2 linked regions of the Canis lupus familiaris genome follow. Each later gene encodes a partner of the first gene's protein in a complex. Links are inferred from orthologs where the notes say so. Each region holds a gene or a part of one and is shown in the gene's direction. Other genes may lie near its edges.

Region 1 (3,803 bases):
ACCAGGCCGTGGGGGAGCTCCCAGTTCAGTGGGGGAGACAGACACAAGCATCAGGGACTACAGGGCCCTGAGAGAGCTGGGGAGGGGTAGGTGAGCTGAGTCATGGAGCAGGAATCGGCAGAGCAGGGGCCTCTCCCTGGCCCACTTGGCATCCCCCAGGCAGGAGGGCTATGGCTGGATCAACTACAGGCAAAATGTATGTAATGTAAAAGCTTGCCATTTCATCCTTTCTAAGTATCCAGTTCAGTGGCATTAAGTACATTCACATTGTTGTACGACCTTCACCACCATTCATCTCCAGAACTTTCATATCTTCCCAAACTGAAACTCTGTCCTCATGAAAGTTATTCTTTGCCCCCTTTCTCCAACCCTGGCTTCCACCATTCCACTTTCCTTCTCTGAGTTGACCCTTCAAGGGACCTCATACGAGTGGGATCATGCAGTATTGGTCCTTTTGTGACTGGCATGTCATTCAGCAGGTCTTCAAGGTTCATCTGTGTTGTAGCATATATCAGTATTTCATTCCATGTTTTAAATTTTCTTTTTAATTTTTTTTTTTAATTTATTTATGATAGTCACAGAGAGAGAGAGAAAGAGAGAGAGAGAGGCAGAGACAGGCAGAGGGAGAAGCAGGCTCCATGCACCGGGAGCCCGATGTGGGATTCGATCCCGGGTCTCCAGGATCGCGCCCTGGGCCAAAGGCAGGCGCCAAACCACTGCGCCACCCAGGGATCCTCATTCCATGTTTTAATTAAAAATAATTAAAAATAACTAAAAAACACACAATAAAATTTGTCAACTCTAAGTGTACTAATCAGTAGTGTTAAGTCCACTCACATTCTTGTATCAAAGAGCTTTACTCCTTCCCATGCCACTGATGAACTTTGCTTGTGCTATTAGATACAATCCTAAGACTCTCTTTAGATAGTCATATTTTTAAAAACTTTAAAAACTTTTACCATCACGGTAAATGGAAACAGCAGTATTATTTGTCATAAAAACAAAGGCACCCATAAACTACCATAAAAACACATGGATGTAAATACATTGTGGCCAAATTCTGTTGTTGCCTGGGAAAGGCCTTGAGCTTGAGAGATGCTGGGATACCAAACCACTGAGAGCTTCTCCTTGAGGGACATAGGACTGAAAGGAGTCAAAGAAATTCAGCTCTCTGCATGTAATTTCAGGGTGTTACTTGCCAGGGTTGTGATCATCCCTCATATCACCAAAGTTGTGTCTATGGTTCCCCTTTGGGGGAGTGCCTGGTGTAGATGCAGTTAGGAGGCCCGGTTTCTGGAGTTAGGCCCCTTGTCACCTCCCACTGCATCCCATTCCCCTGCCCACAGGAGAAACAAAGTCCTGAACCACTTCAGCATCATGCAGCAGCGACGGCTCAAGGATCAGGATCAGGAGGAGGAAGACGAGGAAAAGGAGAAGCGCAGCCGAAAGAAAGCCAGTGAGCTGCGCATCCACGACCTGGAGGATGACCTGGAGATGTCGTCTGACGACAGCGAGGCCAGTGGTGAGGAAGGTGAGGCCGGTGGAGCCCCCGGGGTGACTGGGTGATCCGCACAGCCTGGTGATCTGTGCTTGCGTCGTACTTTGTCAAGGTGTCTGAGTGATGGCCCAGGGAGGTTAGTGCCACTGAAGCTTAGTCACAGCCCCCTGGGAATGAGAGCAGGGCTCAGCAGGCTACACAGGCCACTGGGCAAGCACCTGAGTTGGTAGGAGGCAGAAAGCTACAGGAAGGTCTCAGCTGTGGCCTTTATTGGGGCTCCCACGGGATGTGCAATGCGGAGGGGCAGAGGGTGCAACAGCTTCAGGTTGGCCAATTCAAATAATTCTGGCCACAGGCTGGTTTCTGATTGTCGGTACCCGGTCCTGGGGGATGCAGGGAAGGAGGTGGCGTTCCTGAGTGTGAGAACCGGAGAGAGGGAGTCAGGGGTGTAGACTTGCATTGGTCGGGTTTGCTTGGGAGACGTGGGTCCTCGGGGGCTTCTGCCGAGGCGGACCTCCTCGGATACACCAAATAGGATGAGCGCCAGCCTGAGCCCGCCTCTGCTTCCGCAGGGGGCAGAGCCCCCAAGGCCAAGAAGAAGGCACCACCCACCAAGGGGACCAAGAAGAAGAAAAAGAAGAAGGGCTCCGATGATGAGGCCTTCGAGGACAGCGACGATGGGGATTTCGAGGGCCAGGAGGTGGACTACATGTCGGACGGCTCGAGGTAAGGCAGGCAGGAGGCGGCCGAGGGGTTGGGGCCAGGATGGCCCAGGCCGGCCCTCACCCTCTCGTTCTGTCTTCTAGCAGCTCGCAGGAGGAGCTGGAGGGCAAGCCCAAGGTCGTCCAGCAGGAGGAGGGCCCCAAGGGCGTAGACGAGCAGAGCGAGAGCAGCGAGGAGAGCGAGGAGGAGAAGCCACCCGAGGAGGACAAGGAGGAGGAGGAGGAGAAGAAGGCGCCCACGCCCCAGGAAAAGAAGCGTAGGAAAGGTGGGTCCCCTCCCTGCATCCCAGCCCACCCCCCACCCCCTAGCCCCTTACCCGAGGCGGGGCTGGCACGGGTGGGCACCCCGGCAGCCACACCTCTCCTCTGGCCCCCAGCAGACAGCAGCGACGAGTCGGACAGCTCGGAGGAGAGCGACATTGACAGCGAGGCGTCCTCGGCCCTCTTCATGGCGGTATGGCCCGGCCCGGGGGCGGGAGGGGGCAGGCGACGGGCTATCTGTAGACTCATGTCCCGGACCCCATCTCCACAGAAGAAGAAGACACCCCCCAAGCGGGAGCGGAGGCCGTCGGGAGGCAGCTCTCGGGGCAACAGCCGGCCGGGCAGCCCGAGCGCGGAGAGTGGCAGCACGTCCTCCACCCTGCGGGCCGCCGCCAACAAGCTGGAGCAGGGTGAGCGGGACCCAGCCTCGCTGCCTCCTCTTCTCCCACCCTTGGCCCGCATTCTGCTTCGGGAGCCAAGGCCTGTGTGCCCCCTGGGCCCCCTGCACTGGGATCCTGGCACCCCTCCGCCTGGGCTCCCCCACTTCGAGCACAGGACTCAGCCCTGTTCCCGCTCCCCCAGGCAAGCGGACCAATGAGACGCCGGTGGCCAAGCGTCTGCGGCTGGACCCGGGGCCCCAGAGCCTGTCGGGGAAGTCAACCCCTCAGCCCCAGTCGGGGAAGTCGACCCCCAGCAGCGGGTACGTTGCGGGGGAATGGCAGGGGCGGGGCGGGGGTGTGGGGAGGCCGCCTGCGGACGCCCGCCCACGCCGCCCTCTGCTTGGCCCCACAGAGACGTGCAGGTGACGGAGGACGCGGTGCGCCGCTACCTGACGCGGAAGCCCATGACCACCAAGGACCTGCTGAAGAAGTTCCAGACCAAGAAGACGGGGCTGAGCAGCGAGCAGACCGTGAACGTGCTCGCGCAGATCCTCAAGCGGCTCAACCCCGAGCGCAAGATGATCAGCGACAAGATGCACTTCTCCCTCAAGGAGTGACGGGCGGCGCCCACCCACCTGCCCAATAAACAGGCTCCGTCGCCAGAACCTCCTGGGTGCTCGCATTGTCTGTCACCTGCTCCCTGAGTCCCAGAGCCCCCTTGTCAGTGCGGGATCACCCCGGGCCGTCCTCTGGTCTCCCAGGTCCCTCCCTCCGGGAACCTTCCCCTGCCCCTTGGAGCTGGCTCCTTAGTCCTCAGCCCATGGTGCTCTCTGCGTGTCTGCGTGGGCGGCCGTCCCTCCAGCTGGCTTCCGGTTCTGCCTTCAGCTGTGCCCACCCCCCCCCCCCCCCCCCCCCCCCCCAACCCATGAAGTGCTCGGCTCC
Region 2 (4,539 bases), on another chromosome or scaffold:
CGATCCTGGAGACCCGGGATCGAATCCCACATCGGTCTCCCGGTGCATGGAGCCTGCTTCTCCCTCTGCCTGTGTCTCTGCCTCCCTCTCTCTCTCTCTCTCTCTCGAATAAATAAATAAAATATTAAAAAAAAAGTACCGAGTGCTGGTGAGGCTACCGGAGTAACCGGAAGTCTTATACCTGCATATGCAATTATATTTTACCATACCACAGAGGCACAATAGGTGTAAAGAGCATTGATAATAGTAAACTGTGGTAAAATAATTAGGAAGAGATGAAGTTAAGATTTTATTTTACTTTTTTAAGAAGTCTCTCTATGTGGGGCTCAAACTCCCAACCCCAAGATCAAGAGTCATATGCTGTACCAACTGAGCCAGCAATGCACCCCAGGAGGTGATGGCTCTTGTAGCTGGTTCTAGCACACCACTGTCCTTAAGATTGCCTTTAAGGGGAGGATGGCTGGGAAAGAAGAGAGGAAAAGTCAGGACTGCTGAGGCCCATTCATCTGCTTCCTTGCCTGATCTTTCTTTTTTTAAGATTTTATTTATTTATTCATGAAAGACACAGAGAGAGAGAGGGGCAGAGAGAGAGAAGCAGGCTCCACGCAGGAAGCCCGATGTGGGACTCCATCCTGGGACTCCAGGAACTCGCCCTGGGCGCCCCCAGCAGGGGCCAAACCGCTGAGCCACCCAGGGATCTCCTTGCCTGATCCTTCAAAAGGGATCCCCATGGAGTTTTAGTGGCAGACTGGTGGGATCAACTATTCCAGGAAATGGACAGTGTCCATACGAACTGGTATGTGACAGTTCTGAGGAAGCAGACGTGAAGTGTCTGTTCTTGCTGTAGGGTGGGTCAGGATCTTTTATTTACAACATAAAAAAAAAAAAAAAACCACCATAAAAACCTTACTCAGGCAACTGGGAGTTTGCTCAAAGCCTTAAGGATTGTCCGGCTCTTAAAAAAAAAAAGAAAAAAGGATTGTCCGGCTCTAGAACCAGCTGCCCTGGCTGAGCCTTACTCATGGGTCTGTCTCATGGTTTCTGCCTCTTTCTGCATGGCCCTTTTATCAGTCAGTCTCAACAGGGAATAGATTGCATTATCACTCCGGTTAATTGAGGGGAGTTTAGCAAAGCGACTGTCTACAAAAAAGTGGGCAGAGTTGAGGGAACAAACCAATCAATTCTCTAAGCCCCCCATGCGTGTGTGTCAGCGGGTTGGGGGGAAACGGGAAAGAGGAGTGCAGTGACTTGGTTTCTCACACCGGAGGGAGGACTGACTCCTGGGCTCTGATTTTGGCTGCTTCATCTCCTAACTACCTGCAGCAAGGAGTGGGGTGCTCCATTTTATTGAACAAATGACTGCATGAAAATCTGGAATGTCCAAATACGCAAGGGTCTTGGAGGTCAGACACTGCACATTTGAATCGTGACCCTCAAGTGACCTCAACTCTCTGAGCCTGGTCCCTCATTTGTAAAGCTTGCCTAGTGGTGTTGCTATGTACATGAAATGAGATAAAGACAGCTCCTTACGATGCTTACTATGTGAAGGCAGCCTTCAAATATTTGCCACACGAATGCGTTCTGCTAAAGCACTGTATTCACGTTGTCTTTTATTAGCTAATTAATTCCGTTTAACAGTATATCGCGCATCCCTCCTAGGCCAGGAAACTGTTCATTTAGAAGAGCCAGCATTTGCGCCGCAGAGGACCTGGGCCGGAAGGGCGGGGCCTCACCGATTTCCCGCCCACGACAGCGATGACCAATTGGGTCCGCGAAGGGAGCGGAGTCCCGCCCACTTGGCGGGGACAGGCCCGGAAGCAGGGTTCCGGGGGCGGTGCGTGTTTCCGGTTGCGTGAGAACCGCGGCTACCACCGAGGCAGTTTGGGTTTGGCTGCTGTCCGGTCCCGGCTGGGAGGATGTTCTATCACGTACGCGGAGCACGGGGTGGCCGCGAGGGCAGGGTTAAGAGGAGGAGCGAAGCGGGGCTCCGGGACGAGGAGATGCTGTTCCTCGTCCTTGCTTGGTCTCCATGCCGCTTTCCCCGCAGATCTCCCTGGAGCACGAGATCCTGCTGCACCCGCGCTATTTCGGCCCCAACCTGCTCAACACGGTCAAGCAGAAGCTCTTCACCGAGGTGGAGGGGACCTGCACCGGCAAGTGAGTCCCGAGTGCTTCGCGCCGCCTGATCTGCAGCCTCTACCCAACTCCTACTCATCCTGCAAGCACCTGCCACCTGCCCCCTGCCCCGGGGAACCCTCTCACCCTCTCAGGCACCCGAGGCAGTCACTTGCTTCCGGCCTGGGTTCCCGAGGTGCCCTCTGGATCGCGAGACTTACTTCAGCAGAGACTGGTCATTCGTTTACTCCGCAGACTTTTTTTTTTTTTTTTTAAGATTTTATTTATTTATTCATGATAGAGAGAGAGGCAGAGACAGAGACACAGGCAGAGGGAGAAGCAGGCTCCATGCAGGGAGCCTGATGTAAGACTCGATCCCGGGATTCCGAGATCACACCCTGAGCCGAAGGCAGGCGCTAAACCGCTGAGCCACCCAGGGATCTCTGGGAATCTGTGTTTTAAGAAGTTCCTCTTAGGTGATTCTGAGGCATCCTCAAGATTGAAGTCTCTTGGCTTAAGGACTGCAGTCTCCTTGGACATTTATTGTGAAACATGAGAGCAGTGTTTGGCATTATAGATACTGATCGGGGATCCCTGGGTGGCGCAGCAGTTTGGCGCCTGCCTTTGGCCCAGGGCGCGGTCCTGGAGACCCGGGATCGAATCCCACGTCGGGCTCCCGGTGCATGGAGCCTGCTTCTCCCTCTGCCTGTGTCTCTGCCTCTCTCTCTCTCTCTCTGTGTGTGTGACTATCATAAATAAATAAAAATTAAAAAAAAAGTTATAGATACTGATCTGTATTCTTCTCCCAACATGAAGTTCTGTGGGCAGGGGTGCCATCTATTTCCCTTTGTGCCGTCCCCTGACCCCCATCATCACTGATTTGTTGTAGATGATTTTATTTTTTTTTATTTTTTATTTTTTTGTTTTTTTTTTGTTGTAGATGATTTTAGAGGCTCTTGCACACACGATGCCTTTCTTTTTTTCATCCTCCTTACAGGTATGGCTTTGTAATTGCTGTCACCACCATTGACAATATTGGTGCTGGTGTGATCCAGCCAGGCCGAGGGTTTGTCCTTTATCCAGTTAAGTACAAGGCCATTGTTTTCCGGCCCTTTAAAGGGGAGGTCGTGGATGCTGTTGTCACTCAAGTCAACAAGGTGAGTCCATACATAGTGGAGGCAGTTGGGTGGCTGCTCAGAAGATGGGGGATGGGTCCCAACTGCTCTTGCTAACTCTGTGTCCTTGGGTAAGTCACTTTTGCTTCAGTTTCTACACCTGTCAAATGGTGCAGAAACCTCCCTTGGGGTCCTGTAAGTCAGTATGAGTTGTCAGCAATAGTAGTCTCCATTCATTGAATACTTATTATGGGTTGGGTAAGGTCCAAAACCTAACGGTGACTAAGGTCATGCTTTTATCCATTTTTATAGAAGCTTACGCCTGGAGAAGTTAGAAGTTGTCTAATGGCCAAGGTCATGTGATCAACAGGTGGTCAGATTGTGGACCGACAAGTGCCAGGCCTTGGCTCTTTAGTGCACTGTATTTGCGTAACTTGAAATGAAATCTCAGCAGAAGAGACATGAAAGCAAATGATACAATTCAGAGTGGATTCAAAATATGAAGAATATTATTAGGAATTAGATAAAGTTGGGAAGCTTAGGTGAATTTGAGGATAAAAGAAAAAGCAAAGTCGAGGTGCCTGCCTGGGTGGCTCAGTCGGTTAAGCAGCCGCCTTCGGCTCAGGTCATGATCCTGGGATGGAGCCCCGCAGCCAGCTCCCTGCTCAGCAGGAATCTACTTCTCCCTTTCACTGTCTATACACGTTTGCTCTCTCTCTCTCTCAAATAAATAAAAATTTAAAAAGAAAAACAAAGTCCCCCATTGTCCTCTTAGGTTGGACTTTTCACAGAAATTGGACCAATGTCCTGCTTCATTTCTCGACATGTAAGTCTGGGCGTGCTGGGGGTGCTAAGGAGAGAAGCCAGTCATGACTCTCTCTGGAAGCACTCCTGTAAAGCTCTGTCTTGCTTTCCTTTCAGTCCATCCCATCAGAGATGGAGTTTGACCCCAACTCCAACCCACCATGTTATAAGACAATGGATGAGGTGAGTGGGGAAGAAGTCCATGAGAAGGACGAAGAATGAGCCCTCCAAGAAATTTTGGCTTGTAGGTATCTGAGTATCCTGTTTACTCTTCCTCAGGACATTGTGATTCAGCAGGATGATGAGATCCGCTTGAAGATTGTGGGGACCCGTGTGGACAAGAATGACATTGTGAGTCTCTTGCCTACCTTCTTACCTGTACCAGGCAGAGCTGGCAGCTGTTGATTTTCTTACCATGCAGGGTTCCTGGGGGTTTTGTTTTCTTCTGCCAGGAAGAGGGGATGGGTGAGCAGAAGGCCTGGGGCTGGGCTAGAAGTTAGTTCTA

Evidence for each region.
Region 2: GTF2F1 (region 1) and POLR2G share a complex: the UniProt entries of both Homo sapiens proteins name them as parts of the TBP-based Pol II pre-initiation complex. The link is inferred for Canis lupus familiaris from reciprocal best matches to the Homo sapiens genes GTF2F1 and POLR2G.

The regions. Positions count from the first base shown.
Region 1 is NC_049241.1:54,175,933-54,179,735, forward strand, and holds the end of GTF2F1 (general transcription factor IIF subunit 1), read left to right. Parts: intron 1-1,346; coding exon 1,347-1,531; intron 1,532-2,070; coding exon 2,071-2,224; intron 2,225-2,304; coding exon 2,305-2,486; intron 2,487-2,597; coding exon 2,598-2,674; intron 2,675-2,752; coding exon 2,753-2,891; intron 2,892-3,063; coding exon 3,064-3,181; intron 3,182-3,273; coding exon 3,274-3,478; 3' UTR 3,479-3,526; downstream 3,527-3,803. UniProt on the Homo sapiens protein: TFIIF is a general transcription initiation factor that binds to RNA polymerase II and helps to recruit it to the initiation complex in collaboration with TFIIB. It promotes transcription elongation.
Region 2 is NC_049239.1:54,436,546-54,441,084, reverse strand, and holds the start of POLR2G (DNA-directed RNA polymerase II subunit RPB7), read left to right. Parts: upstream 1-1,714; 5' UTR 1,715-1,916; coding exon 1,917-1,928; intron 1,929-2,047; coding exon 2,048-2,157; intron 2,158-3,112; coding exon 3,113-3,272; intron 3,273-4,005; coding exon 4,006-4,056; intron 4,057-4,151; coding exon 4,152-4,217; intron 4,218-4,313; coding exon 4,314-4,385; intron 4,386-4,539. UniProt on the Homo sapiens protein: Core component of RNA polymerase II (Pol II), a DNA-dependent RNA polymerase which synthesizes mRNA precursors and many functional non-coding RNAs using the four ribonucleoside triphosphates as substrates.